3 linked regions of the Drosophila melanogaster genome follow. The protein of the gene in region 2 purifies or fractionates together with the protein of the main gene of each other region. This does not show direct contact. Each region holds a gene or a part of one and is shown on either strand. Other genes may lie near its edges.

What was found.
Region 1: the proteins of Pur-alpha (region 2) and hts purify together in Drosophila melanogaster (affinity purification with western blotting; one study listed by BioGRID). This does not show direct contact.
Region 3: the proteins of Pur-alpha (region 2) and Rm62 purify together in Drosophila melanogaster (affinity purification with western blotting; one study listed by BioGRID). This does not show direct contact.

Annotation. Positions count from the first base shown.
Region 1 is NT_033778.4:19,420,823-19,428,923, reverse strand, and holds the start of hts (hu li tai shao), read left to right. Parts: upstream 1-4,020; 5' UTR 4,021-4,101; intron 4,102-4,809; exon of another isoform or gene 4,810-5,126; 5' UTR 5,127-5,330; intron 5,331-8,101. Other genes in the region: CalpA (Calpain-A), read right to left, coding at 380-498, 562-954, 1,017-1,247, 1,306-1,546, 1,603-1,723, 1,786-1,910, 1,980-2,056, 2,118-2,294 and 2 more. UniProt on the Drosophila melanogaster protein: Required for assembling actin at ring canals in developing egg chambers. Probably interacts with other developmental proteins involved in nurse cell/oocyte transport through the ring canals. Important for normal neuromotor function.
Region 2 is NC_004353.4:554,230-562,297, reverse strand, and holds the start of Pur-alpha (Purine-rich binding protein-alpha), read right to left. Parts: upstream 4,283-8,068; 5' UTR 4,130-4,282; intron 4,076-4,129; exon of another isoform or gene 3,998-4,075; intron 2,635-3,997; exon of another isoform or gene 2,405-2,634; intron 2,204-2,404; 5' UTR 2,041-2,203; coding exon 1,998-2,040; intron 1,950-1,997; coding exon 1,887-1,949; intron 1,828-1,886; coding exon 1,715-1,827; intron 1,581-1,714; coding exon 1,478-1,580; intron 1-1,477.
Region 3 is NT_033777.3:6,004,368-6,012,557, reverse strand, and holds the start of Rm62 (Rm62), read left to right. Parts: upstream 1-3,984; 5' UTR 3,985-4,087; coding exon 4,088-4,521; intron 4,522-4,829; exon of another isoform or gene 4,830-5,112; intron 5,113-6,443; exon of another isoform or gene 6,444-6,597; coding exon of another isoform or gene 6,598-6,608; intron 6,609-7,260; exon of another isoform or gene 7,261-7,341; coding exon of another isoform or gene 7,342-7,352; intron 7,353-7,431; coding exon 7,432-8,190. Other genes in the region: CG10280 (uncharacterized protein), read left to right, coding at 626-890, 1,162-1,985. UniProt on the Drosophila melanogaster protein: As an RNA helicase, unwinds RNA and alters RNA structures through ATP binding and hydrolysis. Involved in multiple cellular processes, including pre-mRNA splicing, alternative splicing, rRNA processing and miRNA processing, as well as transcription regulation.

The sequences.
Region 1 (8,101 bases), on a different chromosome or scaffold from region 2:
CACCCTTTTTATAACTGATAAATTAAGAAAATTGAACTTCATATTGATCAGAATTATTCTTAACATGTAACAGACAGACCGACATTACATTTGAATTTATCTAGAAGAAATATATTTCGAGTTTCTGGAATACTGCAGGCGTTAATCTCAGGTAAAAATATATATAAGAGGAGTGATTAAAAAATGGCATAACCAACTTATCTGTCAGGAATGTGTAGAGGGTAAAGAAACAAATCTAGTCAAACATTTACTAGCACTAGAGATTAAAGAATACTATAGTCACAACATACCACATATTGCACGTAAGAAGCTTTTAGTTATAGAAACCCCTCATTATTTCTAATATACAAACTCATTGTCATTGTCTACTTGTACGCACTCCATGTTATTTTGAGTTTCTGAGAACACTCGAATGATGAACTCTCCCTCCTCGTTTGGATCGAAAGTTGAAGGCACAATCAGGTAGTGACCAGGAGGCAATTTGAAGCGAGCACACACCTAAATAAGAAACGCATATGTTAAGTGATTGCAGCCATATCCTGGATATATCCGTATACGTACTTCGCGGGTGTTGATAAAGTGCGGCGATCTTCCCACAGAAGACTTGTATCTGAAAAAGTTCAGACCCTGGGGACGGTTTTCCAGTTCGCGATCATTAAGGCTATAGATAGCGAAACCAATGGTCAGACACTCCATTCCCATATTGCGCTTCGATCTGCGATTCTTTTGCATTAAGGCCACGATGACGGTGCACTGTCCCTCTTCGTCTTCCTCATCAGGATCGACTAGGGTGATAATATACTGGGGGTTGTGCCAGAAGGTATCCAGGAAATTGCGGCAACCACCAGCTGTAACACCGGGTGTCCATTCTCCCTCATACATGGACATCTCCCACTTTCGCTTGCCACTGTTTTGTTGGTCCTCGGTCAGTGAGTCCGGCGACAAATTGCAAATCTGAACAAAATCATGGCGAATGAATCATGAAATATTTCACCAAGAAATATTAATAGTCCTACCTCCACGCGATCGAAGTGGTTAAGAAAATCTTGGAAGGACATCCAGAACTCTCCGTCTCTGTCGAATGTTAGTCCAATCTCCGCCTTCTGTTCCTCGGGTATATAGCGCCATTCTGGTGAGCTATCACTCCATGGTCCATTCCACTCGGCTTCATTGCCCCAAGGATTTCGCATTCTTATCATAGGGATCTTTCCCTGACGATTTGGCGTTACTATGTCAATAAGGCAAACCTGTTGACATAAGATTAATTAATAAAATGTTCTTATCATAGCAATTTTCCGAACAAACCTTGGTTATGGAGTAAGCGTGACCACGGATTAAGCCCTGAGGAGTTTCTGCCTCCGTGACATTTGGATCAGGCTCAATCGAGCATCCCATCATGGAATTGCGTTCAGCTGCTTTTTGCAGAATGGTGAATAGATTGCCGGGTGCTTCTTTTAAATCGTACCACTCGGATACGCCGCCAGTAAAGTCCTCCATGGCCTCGCAAGTGCTGCCTCCCTTTAGTGCCTCGTAGGATCCATGAAGTCTAGAAAGCATATATACATCAGTTGACCATAAAGTATGTGAATAATGTAGTCCTACTTGGCATAAGCCTTCTCCAGCAGGGCGCTCCAGAACTCGTTCTTCTCCGTGGAGTGCATGTACATCAGCTCTCCATTATAAGTGGGCAAACGGTCATCAATGATTACATCAACCCATTTACCTTAAAATTTTAAACTAAAATTGTAAGAAGCGCATGAATAATTTTTTTAATAAATAATTTACCATACTGCCAAAAGCGGAAATGGAAGATACCAGCATAGTTCTCCTCGAAACTCTGTTCCGCTGGAATTACCCGAAAGAAAAGGTTGGATTCCTGAGTTAAATTGGCTGTGGCAGCCAAGAGCCAACTGTAAATGTAAGCATTTATTTAAAACTATTAATTATTCTGGCTGCGGAAATAGAGATTTTGTTCTTACCAGTCACCAAGCTCGCCTTGCTGAACATCAAAACGCGAATAACCCTCCACAAAAAACTGGGGATTCTCGGCAATTTCCTTTATAATTAAAGCATTTATACCTTTAGTTACGGGTAATATGGTAGTATCTAAAACTTACATGAGGTCTCAGCCATTCGATGTGACGATCTGGACGCCGGGAAAACTGAAGAGACTCGTTCGAAGCCGGAAAAAGTGGATCTTCGAAAAGGGAACCACTGGCCAGGCAGCTGTTCAATATTGTCTCATAGTCCTGCACCTCGGAATAGGGTCCCAGGCTCGAGCTCTTCTCTCCCAGCTAAAAAATACATGCTATTAGTGATATGAATCTAACAAAATTGATGAACTTGATTAAGAGTATTATGTATGTACACGATAAAGTTGTGTAATGGAGTTGTATAAACGATGATGCGTTTTACACTTTACATGCGAAAGAAAAAGAACACAAGGACAACACAGTACGACACTTTGGCAGCGCATTATCCTTGGAATGGAATTATGTCAATGCCATTACGATGACGGGAGTAGGTACTTACGTTCCCATAGTACAACGTACTATTACTTTGAGATTGCAATGGTTGCTAATGAGTGGAATGTATATGTATTTGTTAACATGCATATGTAGATTTCAATGGATTGTTTTCTATGTTTGTTTAGTATAGTATAGCGCCCTATAAATAACTGTTGATAACCGTGTGGGTCAACTTACAACTCTCATATTCTTGATGCTGGGCAGAACCCTCTTGGTGTCGGCCTCCTTCTTGATGAAGATCTCGTTGATCACCGATCCGACCACATCCTTGGCCGCTCCCATTGCAGCCTCACCAGCTGCATTGAGGAACTCCTGTCCCGCTTGCCTCAAGAATCCCCTCAAGTCGTCCATCGTGCAGATATCTGAAAATATATGTACATATATAGTTTAATATCAGTTAGCAGTGTAAGGTGCCGCCTCAGATTAAAAACCCATTAATAAATATTTATTGTTCAAACATTTGATGACTAGTTAGCAACATCCAATATTTTTTATATCGCCCATATTTACTTATAAGCCTCGCGGTGGAATTAAAAGCACACCCAGAGACATAAATATGGTTTAACGAGCATTACAGAATCGTTAGTATTCCCAGTGTGACTGGAAGTCGGGCTAAATGAAATTACTTTAATTCACGCAAACTGAAATTATACTTTGGAGACAAGAATGTCTCGGTTCGCACCCAAATATAATTCAAATGTTTCTACATATACAATGCTGTATTTATACATATGTAGCCGCTATATATATATGCTATATTGTGTGACATCATTCGGAAGCATGAGATTCTCTAGTGACTCAAAGGGTGTGCGCCATTCGGGAGATTAAGCTTCGTTTTTTATCCATATTAAGCCGGGATATTGACATTGACCCATGGAACTACTACATATGTACGACACATATAGGGTATATATTTCTGTGACAATAGTAAATTGGCCTTTAATTGGGGCGAAATATGCTAGATTGGCTGACCCATCTGTTATTGTATTTGCGAACATTGGTAATTCTACGGCGAAACCCAAACAGGTTTGGTAATTAATGCATTCTTCTGGCCTGGCTCATTCCCGTGACCACCATATTTTCGTAAAGAATAGTATATTCGTCATAGGCACTTGATATTTCTAATACTATATATATTTGCCCATTTTCCAACGGACCTTGATTGGTCGAGAGAACGATTTCCGAATCGAATCACGCACTTTCACTCCCCAAAATCACAGCACAACAATAAAGTAACGGAACCACGCACCTTCACCGCACGGAGATATTTACTCACTACAAATATTTATATCTGTAGCTCAACACCTGACTGCTATCGAATGTTTTGGTATTTATTTTTATCGAAGTATTTTGCCGAAATTTGTGATTTGCCAGCCCTATTTCAATGTAAATATATCGATAATCGCCCGATTTTACTGAAAAATATTTCGATAAGAGCATCGATATTTCAAACAAATATCGACCCATTGACATGCGTCAGGTTTGTCCATCCCTAACAAAATCGTAGTACGAAATATCGAAAACGAAACACATCACGCGGGCGAAATTTCGTGAAGTTCAGCATTTACAAATTGTAAGCAGTGGTTTTATCGAACCCATTGACCAATTAGTGGGCTTCTAAAATTAGTGATAGACTTTATTAAATGAAACGAGAAAATAGAGGCGAATACACCCGTACAGCAAATTGACCATCGATTTTTTCACGGCATTGCCGGTGACGAGAATGCGACGCCGTTCATACACACACACGCACGGACACGAATGTGTGTATATGGCGCGGCGCTTGTGTGTGAAAGTGTATTCGTATAAATAATATGACATAATCGACGTGTGCGGCTTAATTGACATAGTTTTTGTGCGAAGAATACCTAAAAGTGCGAAGAGAGCGCCAAAAAAGGCGTTTTTTGTTTGTGGTCAAGGTGGCAAAAAGGACTTGCACCGCTATTTTCCCCTGCGCTTTGCTCCAAATATTCGTTCCTCCCCATACACTCTCTCGCACACACACAAGCGTGTATATTTGGGCGTTGCAGGATGAAGAACTCTCTTTCTCTCTCCCACTTTCCTTCGCTCTCTTCTCGTATTCTCTTGAACACTTTTGCGCAATTTGAGTGATTTGCAAGGCAAACTAATGCTTTTCGATTGTTTACCGAATTTAGTTAACCCCGTTTGGAAGCCAGTTTGTCTGGAAGTTACTTCAGTTTAGTTGTTTTCAACATCTCCACTTGACGTTGCCTAACACTGCCCGCCCTCTCTCTCTCGGCTTCTTTGCCACTGTCCGTGCGCAGTTCTCTTTTGCGCTTCATTCGTGCTCTGCCCGTCGGACGTGTCCGTACGATTTTGGATTAAGTTCTCGTAGGCAATTCAACTTGAAATATTTATTCGCTGCGGTGCAACTAAAATTTAATTCAAAGAATTAAAAGTGCTAAGTGCTGTTAGGAGCGGCAATTTTGCAAAAAAAAAAATATTAACAGTTATTTGGTGTAGTGCAAGAAGCCCAAAAGAGAACAAAATTATTTATTTTAAACATATTGCATTCAAGGCAATAAAAAGTTAAATCTATTAAAATTTTCTACCCTCTCCCTCCCCTTTTATTGATAGTCTCCCTCTGTGGCGTATGTGTGTTTGTACGAATTAGCGGCTGAAAACCAAAAACCGAGGTGCGAGAGCGAGAATACATTTATAAAAAACGCGTGCGTTTCTCCTCTAACACATACAGTGAGTGTGACCGTTGTATTTGTGACCTGTGCCTGTGTTAGCGGCCACTGGAGGATCAACGAATTTAAAAGAATACTAAAAGTACCGGTGAGTATTCTTGCATCTACCGGATGATGTGTTATAATCCCGTTAAATAGTGAATGTCCCCTCGTGCCCTGCATTCGTTTTAACCGTTATGACGATGAGCGGCAATTCGGCCGGTGACGCCATCTTTTGTGCTTCTCTAATAAGTGTTGTTTTTGTTTTTTGGGTTTGGTCAAGCTCACGCAACACGGCGTGTGTGAGTGAGTAGTGTGTCTATTTTGTTGTTATGCTTCATAGACAGTGGCGAAACTACAGATTATTATTCAGGGGTCATAAATGTCATTTAAGATCAAGAACATATTATATTTAAATTTATCCGGAAATATGAGCAAATGTTTAAGGTGTAGCACCACATTGACCCCCATTCAGACGCCACTGTTTGAGCTTCTAGTTCTAGCCACTTTTCTTCTCTCTTTCTCTTTTTTCGGGTGGGTGTGATTGTGTGTGCGTGTGCTTTTCCTTTCCATATGATTCATGCTTCTTTCTACCTCCGGCTTTCTATGCGCTTGTCAGATTAAAAAAAAAACCCATTTTCCAATTCTCGTCGCTGATTTTATTCATCTTTTATTTGGCAATTTGTTGCGAATGCCACTTGCAAATCTCTAGCCGTGTGCCTAATGCACTTGGGCAATAAATCCGCCTGCTGGCGCGCATCTGTGGGCAAGTTTCATGACCCACTTTTCCTCCTTGGTCTCTCGCCTTTCAGCAAAGTAAATAGTGAAAAGCAGCAACAAGTGATAAACAGATTTGTAAATATTGAAAACTTGTTTATGCCATTTGTCAGTGCAACCCAATGCCTACAAAATAGACTTTATAGGTATCGGAGGTAGTTCTTGATACTCAGTCAGTTCGATTTTTAAATTTTTTGTTGTCATTCAGAGCCCATCTTGATATTTCTGTAATTTATTGTAATCTTGAACGAATAGGAATTGATAACCTTTTACTTTAATTATTCTTTAACCCAATTCAATGCGCTATGCTTAAATGAAACATTACGCTTATAGAATTTAATATAATTTAAATTAGCAATGTTTCCTATAAAACTTTGTTTTATATATAGCCTTCTATAGATGTTCTTATGCAAGTCATAGGAGTTCGATTGTGTGTGTGCTCTCCCGCAATCTTATCAGAACCTTCGCGCTGGTTACGTTTTCTTGTTAGATTGCTGTTTCTATACAAGTACCTACATATCCACATTACAACAAGCCAACAACATTCCCAATTTAAGTTATAAGGAATTTCTCCTTTGCCACCAACTAACTACCTACCTATTTACAACATTCTTCGATTTCTATTACCTTACTTCCTGTTCTATATACTCATCATATCAAATTCGAGCATTCCATTTGCCTTAGCTACATATTTTGCGATACATGACGTCATTTCGCACACATTGCTTATAAAAAAGGTAAAAAAATAAAATAAAAATTTGCTCTTTTTGTTTGCTGGCTTTTGTTGCTAATTCGAATTTACTCATAGAAATACATGGGCAGTGGGCTTTATTTATTCATTGCTTATGCTGCCTCCCCCTTTATCACCCCTTATCAAGCTTTTCACTTGTTCCTCTTGCTCTGTTGTCCGTTTTCAATTCGCAAATTAGACGTGACTCGTTGGTTGAGGGTTTCAATTGAGGTTTTTTGCACACCGCAAGTTGCATTTAGAGAATTTTCGAAAATCGTTGAGGCATTATTTGTATTGAATTCCATTTGCACTACGAATACTGAAAAGGTGAAGCAGACTCAGTGTAAAAAGACAACAAAAATAATACAAAAACGATTGCTTCCGCTAAAAAAAAGTGACACATAAAAGTATCTACACAGAAAAAAAAACGAAATATGATATAACCTAAACAACATAAAGTAAAGTACGAAATCTTTACGGATTGGAAAATTCTGAATGTTTTCGTAGTCAACGGGTCAACCAAAATAAAATTGACTGCCTCTTTTTTTCTTTGTGTGCGTTTCATTCTCACGGGAGGAAGTGCATAGTTAAAACTGTAAACAATTGTTGAGGAAACTAAACAACAAAAAATGTTTTGGAATGGAAATGAGACGGAAATTCGAAATTGTGAGCCCCCGAAACCATAACAAATAAAACAAATAAGAAAAACGATAAGAAATGCACTTCAAGTATACGAAAAGACTAACTTTCTAACCTTTATTGAGGCGTGTCCGTCAATGCAAATGCATTTGATGGGGCCAACCAGTCCTAATGACTTTTGATTTGGGAACTGAAAATTGTTTACTCAAGCGTGTGCTTATCAAAATTCCCACTGACGTCACATCACTTGTGATTAATTGATTTGAAAATGGTTAGGATTAAGCTGAATAATTTTGATTAATGTGGCTGCAGTGGAGCTCCTCTGCGAGTCTGGCAACTCTGGCTAAGACGAAAAACAAATTTGTCCAAGAGCGAATGCTCAAAATTTATGGCTCCCTAAAAACTGAAAAATAAATTCTACTCTGTTTCTGCCCCAAAGCCAATTGACGTGAAGATGCAACAGAGTGAGACGGGAAAATGAAGGGGAGATAGCCAGCCTGAAAACCCTCACACATAAATAAATAAAAGAGGCGTACGTGCCAAGCTTCAAAACAGAGACACATAAGCAAGATTAAAAAAAAGAGAGATGTTGCTGCTGGCTAAACAACTGCAGCTCATCAATAAAACAGCAAGAACAACAATAAACCAGGCAATGAAACCCAGCTAAAGAGATAGACAGAGACAGCGGCATGCACAGCGACAAGCAATAACAAATGTACAGTTGCAGAAGCAGC
Region 2 (8,068 bases):
TTTAACGTTTGCCCACCCTTGAAAATTCATTTCTAACGTTTGCCCACTCTTTAAAAATAAATTATTTCGATTGCCCACCTTTTAAAACTAAATTATTTCGTTTGCCCATCCTTTAAAATTAATTTTTAACGTTTGCCCACCCTTTAAAAATAAATTATTTCGTTTGCCACCCTTTAAAATTGGTTTTTTTCGTTTGCCCACTCTTAAAACTAAATAATTTCGATTGCCCACCTTTTAAAACTAAATTATTTCGCTTGCCCATCCTTTAAAATTCATTTCTAACGTTTGCCCACTCTTTAAAAATAAATTATTTCGATTGCCCACCTTTTAAAACTAAATTATTTCGTTTGCCCATCCTTTAAAATTAATTTTTAACGTTTGCTCATCCTTTACAAATAAATTATTTCGTTTGCCCATCCTTTAAAATTCATTTTTAACGTTTGCCCACCCTTTAAAAATAAATTATTTCGTTTGCCCACCCTTTAAAATTGGTTTTTTTCGTTTGCCCACTCTTTAAACTAAATAATTTCGATTGCCCACCTTTTTAAACTAAATTATTTCGTTTGCCCATCCTATAAAATTCATTTTTAATGCAAACGAAAGAAACAAATTTTAAAGGGTGGGCAAACGAAATAATTTATTTTTAAAGGGTGGGCAAGCGTTAAAAATGAATTTTAAAGGATGGGCAAACGAAATAATTTAGTTTTAAAAGGTGGGCAATCGAAATTATTTATTTTTAAATGGTGGGCAAACGTTAGAAATTAATTTTCAAGGGTGGGCAAACGTTAAAAATTAATTTTAAAGGATAGGCAAACGAAATAATTTATTTTTAAAGGGTGGGCAAACGTTAAAAATGAATTTTAAAGGATGGGCAAACGAAATTATTTAGTTTTAAAAGGTGGGCAATCGAAATTATTTATTTTTAAATGGTGGGCAAACGTTTTTTATTGGAAATTTTTATTTTAAAGAGGTGGGCTAACGAAATTGGTTGTATTTTAAGTGTGGGCAATCGAAAAAAAATGTTTGTTAAAGGTTTTTTAAAGGGTGGGCAAACGATAAAAACTAATAATAATGGTTGGGCAAACGTTTTTTGTTGATTATATTTGGTTTTAAGAGATGGGCAAACGATTTACTCTCTGATTAGACCGAGGTAAACTTTAAAGCCTTATATTTTCTAAAGTATACATTTTTTCAAAATTCTAAAGGGTGGGCAAACGATGTTGTTGCAATTAAAAAAAAAAATTGAAAAAAGCGAAATGTTTGATTTTCGAACATTTTCGAACTTTTTCGAAAATTCTTATCTCAAAAACTGGACGTGGGCAAAAAAAACTAATTGGGCAAAAAATGGGCAAACGATTCCAGCTTTCAAATTTCAAAAATTATATTTTTTCCGAACCCAGCTTCTTTGAGCTGTAAAGTTTTCGTATTTAAAATAATATTGATAAAAATAAACATTTTACAATGGGACTGTATATACCTAGAGAAGCGTAGTAATCGCTAAATGAGGATAAATGGTCACGAAATTCGGCTGCAGTTGAAAGAGCCAAGTAAATTTGACTTCGTCTACCATCAGCGCCAATCTGAAATTTTTAAAGCTGTTATACATAACGTTCCATGGTTGTGAATTTTATCAAAAGGTGCTGTTATACAAATCAAACAAAAGCTTTTCTTTATAAAATAGAAGTGATAACAAAATTCTAATCAGATGATTTACCTCAGCAACCTTTATAAAACGGCCTCTTCTATTTTGTTTTACATCCAAATAAAATCGTTTAGATTGTATTTGCAACATTTTCGTAGCCAATTCCTGTTCGACGCCGCTTCCTCCTGACGCGAAAGAATGTGACGTGTTCAGATAGTATAAATTATACATGTGGCATTTTTACCTTTAGCAGAAGAATCGAAGTCGTTCCTACTTGAGGAACCCTCCATATTTGCAACATTATATTCTAAAATATGGAAGTTGTTATATATTTATTAATATGCGGCTCACTTACTTGATCCTGAGATGCCATCATCTCCACTTCCCAAATCGGACATTACGAGACCACCTATTTATAAAATCTCGAAGCTTGGTAGATAGTTACGCTTCCTTCCTTTTCAGCGACACACTTTTAATGTTACACTACTCTTGTGCCTCAACACGACAGCATATAGTTAATAGTATAACCATTCTTTTTGTCCGGTGTACAACATTCCCCTGCTTTAAATATAATATAGATAATTATGATTAATATCGTAGAGTAGCAGCACAGCAGCTGTGTTTGTTTTTTTTTCTGTAAATTCGTTTTTGTTTACTAACTTCCTTTAATACCTAAATCATATGAGTAAATTTCGTAGGATCTAATTTTGGCTACATAGAATAAAAATATACCGACCTAACAATCTTACCTATAGTACCTACCATATTGTATGTTAATATACATACATATATCCTGCCAAAACATATCACAGTGGACGAAAGTCCTCGTAGTGACGTTGCGCAGCAAGATAGTGTCCAAAGGCGACAACTATATATGTATGTACATGATGAAATGCATATGCAGATGCAAAAACTTAAGGGCTTGCATCCAAGACCATTACATGTGTATATCGTTCGGAAGAGAAGCGGTGAAAGTGAAAATACTATACTATTTTAAAATTGTAAGCCGCGTTCCCAAAACGATCACAGCATAATATATTTTTTTTAATATTCTACGTGCTTTCTCGGAACACTTGCATGAAAGGCCAGCGAAATATATTGATAAATGGTGTCGAGTATACTTCAGATATTATAGTTTCCTAGTTGAATATAAAATAATTTTTCGTTATAAAAGTACAAATCAGAATTTTTGTATATTCGTTTTTGTTCAATCGTCAGAAGTTAATACCTCGTTAGTTGTTTTTGTTTAATCATGCTGTGACGCCAAGATCTATCTAAAGAGTTACAAATATACATGTAAATATGTATGTATATATTCTTGTTCAGGATGGCATGAATTAATTTTTACTTTTTACATTAAAATTTATTAAAATTCATAAAGCTTGTAAAATGTTCAATGACCTTTAGCATTAAAATGTATATTGATGTAATTTTTCTTTACTTATTTTGAAAAGATTTTATTCACTTTTAGTTTGAAATTTCTTTTTACCAAACGGTATTAATTTAAACAATAAGAAGAATCCGTATAGACATATGTACATAAGTAAAGTCATAGGACGTAACGTACATATAAATGTAAATGCATATATAAATATATATATTATGTACATATTTATATATATATGTACACACATATATGCACATACATACACTTTGAACATGTCTACTTTTTTCCAAACTGCTTATAACGTTCTTGTACATACATAAATAAATAATTTTTCCAAGGCATTATATTTATCTGGCAATAAATTATGTGTAATTCCCTGTCAATTGAGTGAACTACCAGTCCAGGAATTCATAAATTTGTATAAACAAACTAATATCCCGTTAAGTACAGGAATTAGATGTTTACATTGCATGAGTACGTGTTTGACATGTATCAGCTGTTCACCATCGCATTCGTTGAATTGATTCGACTACCCAAGAAAACAGTTTCAAGGTTTTTGCATGTGTACATATGTATGTATGTATGTATGCCACTACGGGTAAAACCATTTTACACACACAATTTGAACTTAGCAAGCTGATTTTTGTATACATATTCATCTAATACGAGCGAATACGGGAACTCAAACTTGAATTCAACATTGTCATAAAACAGTTTATGTAATAAATTGGGAAAATGTGCACCAAATACGAAAGGTGGGAACTTTTTAAATGGAGCTTCCAAAAGTACACATATTAGCAATGCACACTTAAAAATATATGTAAGTGCTCATGAAAGGAGTGCTAGAGCCAACTGCAAATAAATGGAGGAGCTTTATACTGTTTCCTACTGCAACACTGGGTATTTTTACTCTAGCACTTAAGTTCTTAAACTTAAGTCCAGGAAGAAAAAAATTATAAAAAACGTACAACATCTACACACACACGCACTGCCCCTTACAAATGACATCGACACTCCCTTATTTTATTTGTTCGTCGGATAAAACTGAAAATTCGTAGGTTCAGAACGGAGGGGAATGGAGCCCAAAAGAGCTGAAATACCTTAACGCCTTTGTAGGAAGACTGATGCAAATCCGAGTTTTGGAGTGTTTTTGAGTCACAGCGAAAGCTTGAGCATGTTGTACAGTCAATGTTTATGTGTAGATTGAGTAAAATGGCCTAGTTTGATTTGATTTGACTAGCCATCCAAAAGGAACGCTCGATCTATGTACGTGTAGAATCCGGCAGAACGCGTTAGGGAATTTCTCGGAGCTCCGTTGCGAGCACGTAACGAAAGACAACGTAACCCATCCAACGCGTCGTCTGACCGAAAAAGCTCCGATAAACTGCAAATAAGTCAGCAAAGCTCCTTTTTCCTAGTCTTTCTATTTGCGGCGTTATTGGTGTTGGTTGCTGTTTGTGGTTCGTCGTGCATGAGCAGCAGAAAGTGGAAAATTATAATAAATCTCATCCAGAATTCTGTTTTGATTCCGATACATCGCGAATTTAAATTAACGACTAAACGTGCAACGGTGCTGTGAGGCAAATTAATAAATTCTGCGGCATACTACTGTTCTTCGGGTGTGTGTGTATTCATACACGACATGTGTGCACATACATATGTCTGCATGTACATTCGAAATTGAAATTATGCAAAATGTGCATCATACTGCGAACGCTAGTTAAGGAGCAGTGCTTCAATTGCTACTTCGATGGAAATGTAACTGTTACGTACTGTGTTCGCGATTTCCCCCGTACTTATCCTGTGCCTAAACCGTCGAGCGAAACGTGAGTATATGACCACCTATATACTCACACATTTTCTACATAAATACAAATACACGCAAACTTATTTTTGTTGGTCGTCTCTCAGTTCTCTCCTCGTTTATGGTCATTCTCCGTTCCTCTCGCTGCCATCTGCCACATCCACTTTGGAAAGCGAAAACAGAAACAGCATCTCTGTGAACCCACAGAAATACATATGTAAAGCAGATATGTACATAGATGTGTATATATGGATGTGAAAAAACGAGAAGAGTAGCGACTAGTCTTTTATCTTTTATTTTGGTATCGGGACTGTATTTCGTATCCGTAAATCCGAATCCAAATTGTCGGGACAGCACAGACTAGAGTATAAAGAATAGTATAAGTAAAAATAAATTGATACATACACTTATAGATGTATGTGCGCAAATGTACAATACACCCTGTCAATGCTTTTAATTCGTATTCGTATTTGTGTATATTTTGACTTATTTTAAAATATATCACAATGCCCTTGTAGTCGGAACTCCGCCTTATCGGGCTCAAAAATGACTAATCCCTTCCAAGCTTTAATCATGTGCGTACCTGTAGAATCCTAGATTCTTGAGGATAGTGCTGCTATATTGTTTTCTTTCCTTTCGTGAACAGGGAGTTTCTAAGAAAAAGTTATGTAAAATTAGTCCGAAAAATAAAAATTTTTGGTCTGCCTTGATAGCCCCAGCGATTTTCAAAACTGCTTCCACATGTTATTTTTGAACGCCAATATTCTGTTAACTGAAATATTAGGAGCTAAAAGACAAACACTCCGCAAATAAGAGTGCTTTACTCAATTTTACGTCGCAGAACGTAATATCTAAACGTGAAATTGAAGGTGTTGTCAGTCCGATTTTTTCCTCGCCAAGGGAAATTTCTGTTTAACTTGAGGGATTTAGACAGGGTAAAATCTGGATATACTCGTATATTTACATATGTATAGCCGCTTTCCCGCTGAAGTAGCGTAGTTTTTCATAATGGTTACAACTAATGTTTAAAATACCGACCTGTGTGACAGAAAACAAATAGGATTTAAAAAACGTGTCGTTGCAGACAAAACACGCGACAGAAATTTACAGTTTAAAGAACTAATCAAAATTTGTTAATAATTTTTGTGGCTGAAGTTAATCTTCACCGGTTTTTCTTCGAACCATTAATTTTTTTAAAATGACAAAACCTCAGAATCTTTCAATTCTTCGTGTGTATGTATGTGTGTAGTCGATTCGGCATTGTTCTGGTGGGCTTCGTCAGTACTTCCGTCCACAGTGGAATCAAGAAAGTTAAGTTGGATTGAAGAGTTGTCACTCCAACGCCACAGCTTTTTGAAATGTTTTGAATTTATTTAATTTATTATATGTTTTGCGACCTTTTTCCGTTTACACAGACGGACGACCAACGTGAGGATAACCTGGCATTGTCAGATTGACTCGTATATATATATATATATTTATTTATATATATACGATATATATATATATCCTTTGACCTGCTACATAAATTTCAACGAATCTAGTGTACCCTTTCACTCCACAAACAACTTAGCTAAATAGAAAAATTTAGATAATCATAAACAAGAGTAAGCTGTATAGTCGAATTTTTCGGCTTTTAGACTACCGGGTATCAGCTAGGGAAAGTGCGAAATTCACAAGACTAATAGAAAATATCAAAACATTTTTAAAAATTGTGGACGTGGCAGTTTTGGGTGGTTTGTAGACGTTAGAGAGTACGTGGCAACATCAGTAAACGAACTTTCGCTGCGTCTATGTTCCGGCACCTGTATTCCTAATCTCAGCCCTCTAGCTTTTATAGTTCCTCACATCTTCCGACATCTCGGACAACACCTTAGCGAATCGTCATTTTGCTAATTGTTGGCAAATTGTTGTGGTGGTCAAATTGTTGTTGGCAAAGTAAATACAAAAATTAAAAAATTTTTTTTTTTAATTTTCATACGACTTTGTGATGGTTTTTGATAATTGATAATTTTTAGAACTGCAGGGTTCGTGGTACCCCCCATATGTACATCTATAATAAATCCCCTCACTACAAACAAGGACTGACAATGATGCAACATTTTAGATTAGGTGATCATTCTAATCGCGGTCTAAGTCTACCTATAGTAATACACAGCCACAATTCGTAATTAACTTTTTGTTCGCAATTTTGACGACCTTATAAATTTAAGTTTTAAAAGTTAAACATTTTTGGTAGGCCGGCTTGTTTTACGTATGGTATACATTATCGACACGCGGGTTACCACATATGGCCTCTCTTAAAAAAATCTCTTGAACATATACGAACTCTCGGCTTGAGCTTTTTTGAGAGTGCGTACTCATTTGGCTGTTGTTTCTGATTTTACTAAACTTTCTGGTACAGTAGTTTAGACTCACACATATGTAAACTCAACAGCATACGGCCCTATATATACGTACGTGCATACAAATGGAAATGCACACACTCACAGCTTGCTACTGCCATTTTCGCTTCGTTGCATTTTGAGACTCAGCTAAATATTATGTGTATGCATATTTGTACCATTGTGTTCATTGTGTCTCAAAAGTTGATACACAGGCGATTAAAAAGAGTAAGCCAATATTGTTTTTGTATTTGGAAATATAAATTTTAATTTATTGCTATATATTTTATATATGCCATTCGCAAAAAGCTACACATGAACTCCATTTATAGTACTAATATTTCAACGAAATAATTTTAAAATGAGACTGAATATCTTACCTTTAAAAAGTCCTAAATATAATTACTTATATAGCCCTTTGGAAAGCTTATTATTTATATTTGGAAAATAAGAGAGAATACTATAGTCTAGTTACCAATTATCAGATACCCGTTACTCAGCTAGTCCAAATGCGAACGAGAAATTCAATAATTTATCTGGCTTATCGATAGTTATTGGGGAAATAAATGCGCAAACAATTAAAAAATGTTCATAAGTGTGGGGGTAACCGTTTTGGTCGTTTTGTAGGTGTAAGGAGGGCATGGCCAGTGTTTTTGTAACGGTAGAAATTCGCGGACAAAAAAATAAAACGAAGAAAATTCAAAACATTTTCCAAAAATGTGTAGGCGTCGTACAATACTCGTACAATTCTCGTTAATCCTGCAAATAGGGGGTATAATAATAATATATCTCACGATTTATGCTTTTAGGATATACAAAGGACGATTTTCTAATTGGTCAATTAGTTACTT
Region 3 (8,190 bases), on a different chromosome or scaffold from region 2:
ATTCATTGTACTTAAACGTTTAGTGTCATTGTGAGCCTGACAACAATAAGTTGAAAAAGAGATTCACTGAAGCGATGCCCTTGCAGCTAAACTATAAATTGGTATATTACTCATATGTATATATGTATGATATACGATTTGCATTAAACTGCTGCCTCTTAATAAATAGTATATTTTTACACTTTAGGCCGACTCGAAAGCGAAAGCACTCCGTCAGCCAGAAAGAGAGTTTTGGTAGTACTGAAGGTACTGAAAATCATTGAATGGTCGTTGGCCAAAGCCGCTAACTCCGCTTAAATTACGTGAGCGTCCATCCGTGTTTGAGCCGGGCTTAATCGGAGAGTTTCGTAGTGTTTAAGCTGGGCTTCATCGAGGCGACTTAGTGCTGTTTGATCAGAGAGTAATGGGTGTAAAAAAAAGTGAGAGGGCATAGATTTGGGTTTTGTTTACACGCCGCCGATTGCGTGGCGTCTGCCCAACGTCGGCGTTATTTAGTCTTATTTTCGCACATTTCGCATAAATTAAGGTGCCAAGACTGCAGACTTTGGTAGCCGCCTGGGCTCCGGGCTCTTGGGCCATCGAGCCAGGTTCAGTTACCAATTTCGTGTGCAGCCGTTCGGTTTGAATGCGGCATGAATGTGGCGTGGAAAGAGTGGGCAAACAGCGATCGAATGGAAATATAGTCACAGCCAAGCCGAATCCCAGCTCTATAATGTGTGCTCAGTTGAGTGGATCAGTGGTGCTGCTGGTGCAGCTTCAGGTGGCTGTGCTTCTGGTGGCGCTATTGGTGCTATCCGCAACAACGCTCAGTGAAAGCGCCAAGCTCCCTGTCCGCCAGTATCCCGCTGGAGTGGATTTCTTCGAGCATGAGTTCACCAGTGTGGCGGAAGGTGCGTTCCACTCCCAGTTTCTCCCATGTCTTTATTAATCACTAAGTCCATTTTTGTTTGATTTGAGTTGTGAAGCCCTAAAGATCTTTTCTAGTTTAATCTCCGAACTAAAGAATCTTTTAGGAATATCGTATTTTCTCATTCTGTTCAGTGAATTCGCAATGTGAGTGTTAAAAGGACAATGCAATAACCAAAATATAACATCACATCGATACGTGGGCCTTAAAATTTCAAGAAAATACCATATGGCATATTATATATTCTAAATTAGTTTTGAAACCCCTTTCAGATGAATACGATCCCTACGGACCCGACATCGGTGACGATGACCTGGGAATCGACGATCCGGAGACCATGCCCCGCTTGTTCCAAGGCGACATCGCCATTGATCCGTACACCTACATCACCCTGCGCCTGGGCGTCAATCCAATGAGGCATCCAAAACGACTGTGGCCCAATGGAACGATTCCCTTCGAGATAAGTCCGCGGTACGCAAATCAGGAAAGACAGGCCATTATTCAAGCCGTAAAAACCTTCAACTCCCTAACGTGTGTGCACTTTGTGCCGTACGATGGGGAGGTAGATGACTACCTGTTGATCGAGCCGCCTTTGGAAGGACCGCAAGGATGTTGGTCCTACGTGGGCCGAAGAGGAGGTGAGCAGGTGGTGTCCCTCCAGAGACCCGACGAGAATAGTGCCCACTGCTTCAGCAGCGAGGGCAGAATAATGCACGAGCTGATGCACGCCATCGGCATATACCACGAACAGTCACGAGCAGATCGGGACAACTTTGTCAAGATCCACTGGGACAACATTGTGCCGCGGTTTAGGAAAAACTTCAAGCTGGTGTCGAAGAAGAAGGGGAAGTACGCCTTCGACTACGACTACAACTCCGTGATGCACTACGGCGAGTTTTACTTCAGCAAGCGGAAGGGTGAGAAGCCCACCATGACCCCTCTACAACCTGGAGTTAGGATCGGGCAGCGAAAGACCATCAGCAAGATCGACTGCCTCAAGATCAACGAGCTGTACGGCTGCTTGCAGGGCCGCAGGGCCAAGATGTACCGCAGTTTCTGCCACCTTCTCGGGTTGTAAGTGGACGTGGACCTAGACTGGGATATTTGTTATGAATCACATTGATTTGATATTTAATAAACTTTAATAAAATAATGCGTAGACCCTTATACATATTCATTCTTGGCTGACCCACCCACCAAACTAACTAAACATATCCATTACTTGCAGGTCCGGGTATACTAGGTTCAATTATGAAAATTTAAGAGATAGATAGAAATGTGTGGGCATGCATACGAATTTTCTTGATCACTAAAAGGTTTGATCTTGCCACATGCGCAAGTGTCATAGAAATATTTTGCTTAACTTAGCAGAGATAGACGTGGTTTAAAGTATTGCCATCTCATATGCACCTGTATAACACTGCTAGATAAAGCAGTGCCTTTACTGCTTGCTAATGCGGTCACTTGGTGATCACACTTATATATTTCCATACCCCAAAGGAGGATAAAATTATAACATACCTGAGAACACCCGGGATCTTTAGTCATCTTTGCAACATGCTTCGTATAAAAACGAAATTGAATATAATCTGTTTTTATTGTTAACTTCACTAAAATAGTTCGTAATGCAATTAGATATATTTATTTATAAAATTATTAATAAGAAACGTATTACTTACCGGTTTTTCATATTTCACTTTAAGAAATTGAGCAAAATCCACTTGACACGTTCTACAATCAAATGCAAATTCAGTGTTCGAAACTTTGCTAGAAGAAGGCTGTAACATTTATTCTTGTATTTTTGAACACTCCCAAGGAAAAGTGCGGCAGGGAATTTTAGTACTGAAGAAGGACATATGAACTGGATGTTTGGGTGGCTACGTGTTATCTGCTATTTTTGTCTTTATCAATTGATTTGTTAAAAATGTCACACAGCAACTCCACCTTTTGGAGAGGGTTCTCTCCGAATTTTAAAACCGATTGACCATGGCCTTTACAGTACAATTACGATATACGATAGTTCGTGGTAAGATATTTAAATAAAGTACAGTGAGGTAGTTGGTAAATTTGTAAGAGCTTACAGATACTCATTTTCATTAAAGTGCCGTAAATTTCAATTTTTGGCATTTTGAAAAATAAGTGCATTCTTTACTGGTGTTAATATATGTGGCTACTTAATCCTCCATAGATGCCATTTTATTTTCCAGCATAATATCTATATTTAGCTATTTCCAATCATAACTATGATTCTTTCAATTTAATTCGCTAAAACTCGAGTGAAATTTTCGATTTCTTTCAGACTCATTTTTTAGATGTAAGCAATAAAATTATGTGTAAATTATAAGATTTCTTTAATAAGTATTACTTTTTATAGACTTGAAATGGTCAACAAGCAAGTTCTATGAAATTTTGAAATTAATGATGAAAATTCTGTGTGTTGTACAATATTATATTTTCTTATAAATAATAGGATATATTTTTCCTTTCAGAATATTGAGCCAACCTTATTTTAATTCTTTAAAATATTAGTAAAAATGATGCGAGATTTGCGCTTTTGGTAGATTTCAAAAAATTTGTATTAATTGAAAATGTTAAATAAACCACAAATGGGGTGAGTCTTTGCTAAATGCTCAACACAGAAAGTTGTTTTATGCTTATATTTGTTAAGGTATATTTACTAATCTCCGCACAGACTACGTTTTGGTAGGCTAGGAAATTTAAGACATTTCCGAATATTAGGAGTACGGACCGACGACGAGATACATTTAAAGTTCGTTTCAGCAGAATCTTAAATATTAAAAACTTAGCGGGCAAGTAAATACACCGCGTTCAGCTGATTATCGATAGCTAGGAAATTTAAGACATTTCCGAATATTAGGAGTACGGACCGACGACGAGATATATTTAAAGTTCGTTTCAGCAGAATCTTAAATATTAAAAACTTAGCGGGCAAGTAAATACACCGCGTTCAGCTGATTATCGATAGCAACCAGGTGGTCACTCTAATAGACGTTTTCATGCGAGCCCGCTGCGGTCACACCAACTTCTCGACCGATTTTTCCCCTCCATCTAGGGTCACTCTAATTTTGGACGAGGTTAGGTAAGACACGCGCGGATGCCGCGCTGCGTAGGATAAATCCGTCATTAGCATAACCGCATTGAAGCTAAGTCTTCGGGAAAATGCTTAAGCTTGTGCAATACATAGCCCCCCGGGTGGGCGGCGCCACGCCCCGACCGACTGCCTGCGGCTGGGGCAACTTGCTATTGATTTCCCCGAGAAGTGGCGCGAGCTCCGAGAAATGTATAACGCAACGTCGCCATTTTCTTTTCTCCTCCGCCAGCAGCAGCGGCACTTTCGCTTCTTCTTCTTCGCTCTGCACCGAACAACGACAACAGTTCCACGGGAGTCGCAGGAATCGTGAGACAATACTGTTCCCAAGCACATATAGTAGTCTCCAAGCTCAGTCGCAGCGTGCGTTTCGAGACAGCTCGAAACCAGATTCAGACGACTACGTAGATTCCATCCCGAAAGCAGAGCAGCGGACGAGGACGAGGAAATCGCTTTTCAACGATCCCGACGAAAGAACTGAGGAAATCAAAATTGAAGGAGTAATGTGAGTACGCCGCAAGATTTCATATGAAATGCGTTGGTTTTTTCCACTCACTGTCGCCATTTTATCACCCTTCGTGCCATTCCTCTTTTTTTTTTTTTTTTTCTGTACACCTACGAAGCGAGGTGATGAGTAATTAGTGTGAGCGAAAGAGAGAGTTTGGGGAGAGAGAGAAAAACACATGGTTTGCTAAATTTTGTCAGTCGGAGGTGAGGTTTTCAGCCATTTGTTGTTTTTTTCTTTGTGTTTGCCCCCGCACATCCGCAAAGGAGTAGCAAAAGCAACAAGAACGACAGCGCACGTCATAAAAAGAATTTGCCTGATTTGTGAAACGTGTTCTTGCTTCGTTTGCTATTTTATAGCGTTTTAATTTGTCTGTATGCCCCGAACATGAACACGCGCACTCACACAGCGGCACATACGGACTTGCTTGTATGCGTGAATGCCTGTTGACGGCGGCATTTTCTCGTGCTCGTAGAACAGTTCGAACAGTGTGTGCGAGCGTATAACAGTCGGCGGCTGTCACTGACTAGCGCCGTCCTGCTCACTCGCCAGCATGCCTTTCCATCACATTCTTTCCATGGCTCACACGAGGTTTTGTAGAGATATCGCGATGTTTTTGGTATTGGCAATTTTATAATTTGATGTAACCATCCCGACATAGATTTATACTTACTATGCTTAATTTGGGAAGTGAATGGGGTTAATGGTTTGCTTCGTTTGGTTATCTAATGCGTACATTGAAATATATAATTTCAGTATAATTCTGTATACTGAGGACAATTTTAGGGAAAAGTAGGGTTATTCTCTTAAAATTTTCTCTACACTATAAGTAAAGGTTCCATGCAAACACATTTAACTTACAGATTATCAAAAATGCATTTTATCGATCATTTTATCTATTTTGCTACGCTCTTTTTGTGTTTACTTATCATGAACCATGCTTGTTATGCAATAAAAATTATTTATTAGAAAGTTATACTATAGTATTGATAAAAACTCAAGTAACAACCAAATATTAAATGGTAATAGTAACCCAGTTCGTGAACTACGCCATCACATAAACGGCCCCATTAGTCTAAAATGTCAAATGACGCCAATTGATTATGAGCTCCCCCTTTGGCGAGCGCGCGATTCGTCTTTTCGCATGTCAAAAAGCGACAGGTAGACACACAGAAAGTCAAAGGTGCCCCCAGGGACTGTCCCCTCCTCCCCTCGGGTGTTTGCCCACCGTTGAAACTAGGGGCAAGACATTTGGCTGTCTCATAAATGTTCAGAGCGTTCCGCTTCGCTAGTTGGGCACAAACGTTAGCGTGCCAGTGGGTCCTACAAATAGACGTTTAGGGCGGTACGGTGTTCCAAATTGACAGAGTAATAGACAAAAAAAAACGTGGGCCTGGATCGTGGGTGATTTGCATGGTGCACCCCATAGTGATGCCCACTAGGATCACGAAAATGGAGCTTACATACGAAGTAAAGCGAATATAAAGTGGAAATTTATAGAAGTTAGTTCGTAACACAATAAACATAATTTATGTTGTAAATTTTGTTTTATACAACTTTACCATCCAACTTAATCTTGCACTATATTTATTACCACATTGTATATACACTCCGCAGAGTTAATATTATTTTTCCCTAATTATTGCAAAGTGCTAACATATATAGGTCGGTACCTTCGCCAGTTCTGACTGGAACTAGAACTGCGCCAGGTTGATTAATGCCAGAGCAATAAACGCAGGGCTTTGTACATGGGGCTGTTTAGTTTAGTTGAGCATTTAGGGGCTGATAAACTGGGGTGAAAAATTGGTGGGAGGGTGGGCTGTGAATAGAAACCCTGCTCGAATTGCATGTTGTTGTCAATCAAATTTGCCTTACTGTTTGCATTATTCGAAATTTATTTAATTTCCCTAACACGCAATTAGTTTTTATTTAAGTTTATTGCGGTTGTAGCACAGCACAACTCCCATGTCAGCTGTTTAGCAGCGTCGAAAGAAATCGAAAAGCGAAGACTTACCTTCCAAGCCAAGTCGCAGTTGAAATCCAAGTCCCAACTGGCAGACGTCTAGAAACGGCAGCATGCGAGCAAAGTAAGCCAAGTCACTCGTTTCTTTTTTTCCTCAATTTTCTGTCAAAGAAATACTTAAGAAAAGAAAGTGCAGCTGTCTACGCCGAGCCGGAAAAAATGATTCCAGTTAAGCATGGTTTAATTCTCGAAGGTCCCTTTTATCAAGGGAAAATTTATGACACACAGTTTCTGGGTAATGTGTGTGCAGCGCAAAATTATTTTAGATGGCAGATAAGGAGGAATTGATTATACAAATGTACAACGCGAAATTAAAAAGTTTGTGAGAAAACTATCAAACTATATCAACTTCAGCGAAATTCGGTTACAAAGCTCAAAGTGGGATATTTTCTTAAAGATTCCACTGAATTCACGGCAGCGAAATAACAAGTCGTGAAGTCGTTCAATTTCCATGAATAAGGAAAAGGCCCTTGATACTTGACACTAAGTAAACTTCGGCAATGCAAGATAAGCATATTAGAATTAAATTACTTTAATCTCATTTGCCTTTACCAAAGCCAATTACCATCGCAACCATTAATTTTGCCAAAGTTATCTAGAATAAATTACAATACAAAAAGGCACACAGGGTACGCGTGAATTTTTAATTTATCAAGTTAATGGGAAAAACACTTGTAATGCCACTAATTTAATTTTTTTTATCTCGAATAAAACAGCATCAAGATAAATTGGTGGTCAAAGATCAAACCAGTACAAGAAACTGCAAACTACTACCTTAAGTTCAAATAAGCTGCAAGATGATGATGATGTGAGATTTCTTTTCTTGAGCATTCCGTTTCTATTTTGCATACTTAGATACTCATCGATCTTCCTTTATTATTTCCCAGGGCACCACACGATCGCGACTTTGGTCACAGTGGACGTGGCGGTCGCGGAGGCGATCGAGGCGGCGATGATCGGCGAGGAGGCGGCGGCGGAGGCAATCGCTTCGGTGGCGGCGGTGGCGGTGGCGATTACCACGGCATAAGGAATGGACGCGTCGAGAAGCGACGCGATGACCGCGGAGGCGGCAACCGATTTGGAGGTGGTGGTGGATTCGGGGATCGCCGAGGAGGAGGTGGCGGCGGCAGCCAAGACCTCCCCATGCGTCCGGTCGACTTCTCCAACCTGGCTCCCTTCAAGAAGAACTTTTACCAGGAGCACCCTAACGTAGCAAACCGATCGCCCTACGAAGTTCAGAGGTATCGCGAAGAGCAGGAGATCACCGTGCGCGGACAGGTGCCGAACCCCATCCAGGACTTCTCCGAGGTCCATCTGCCCGACTACGTCATGAAGGAGATCCGCCGACAGGGCTACAAGGCCCCCACCGCTATCCAAGCGCAGGGCTGGCCTATCGCCATGAGTGGCTCGAACTTCGTCGGCATTGCCAAGACGGGATCCGGAAAGACCCTGGGCTACATCCTGCCCGCTATTGTCCACATCAACAACCAGCAGCCGCTGCAGAGGGGCGACGGACCTATCGCCCTCGTGCTGGCCCCCACTCGGGAGCTGGCCCAACAGATCCAGCAGGTGGCCACCGAATTCGGTTCCTCGTCGTATGTTCGCAACACCTGCGTCTTCGGCGGCGCCCCGAAGGGCGGCCAAAT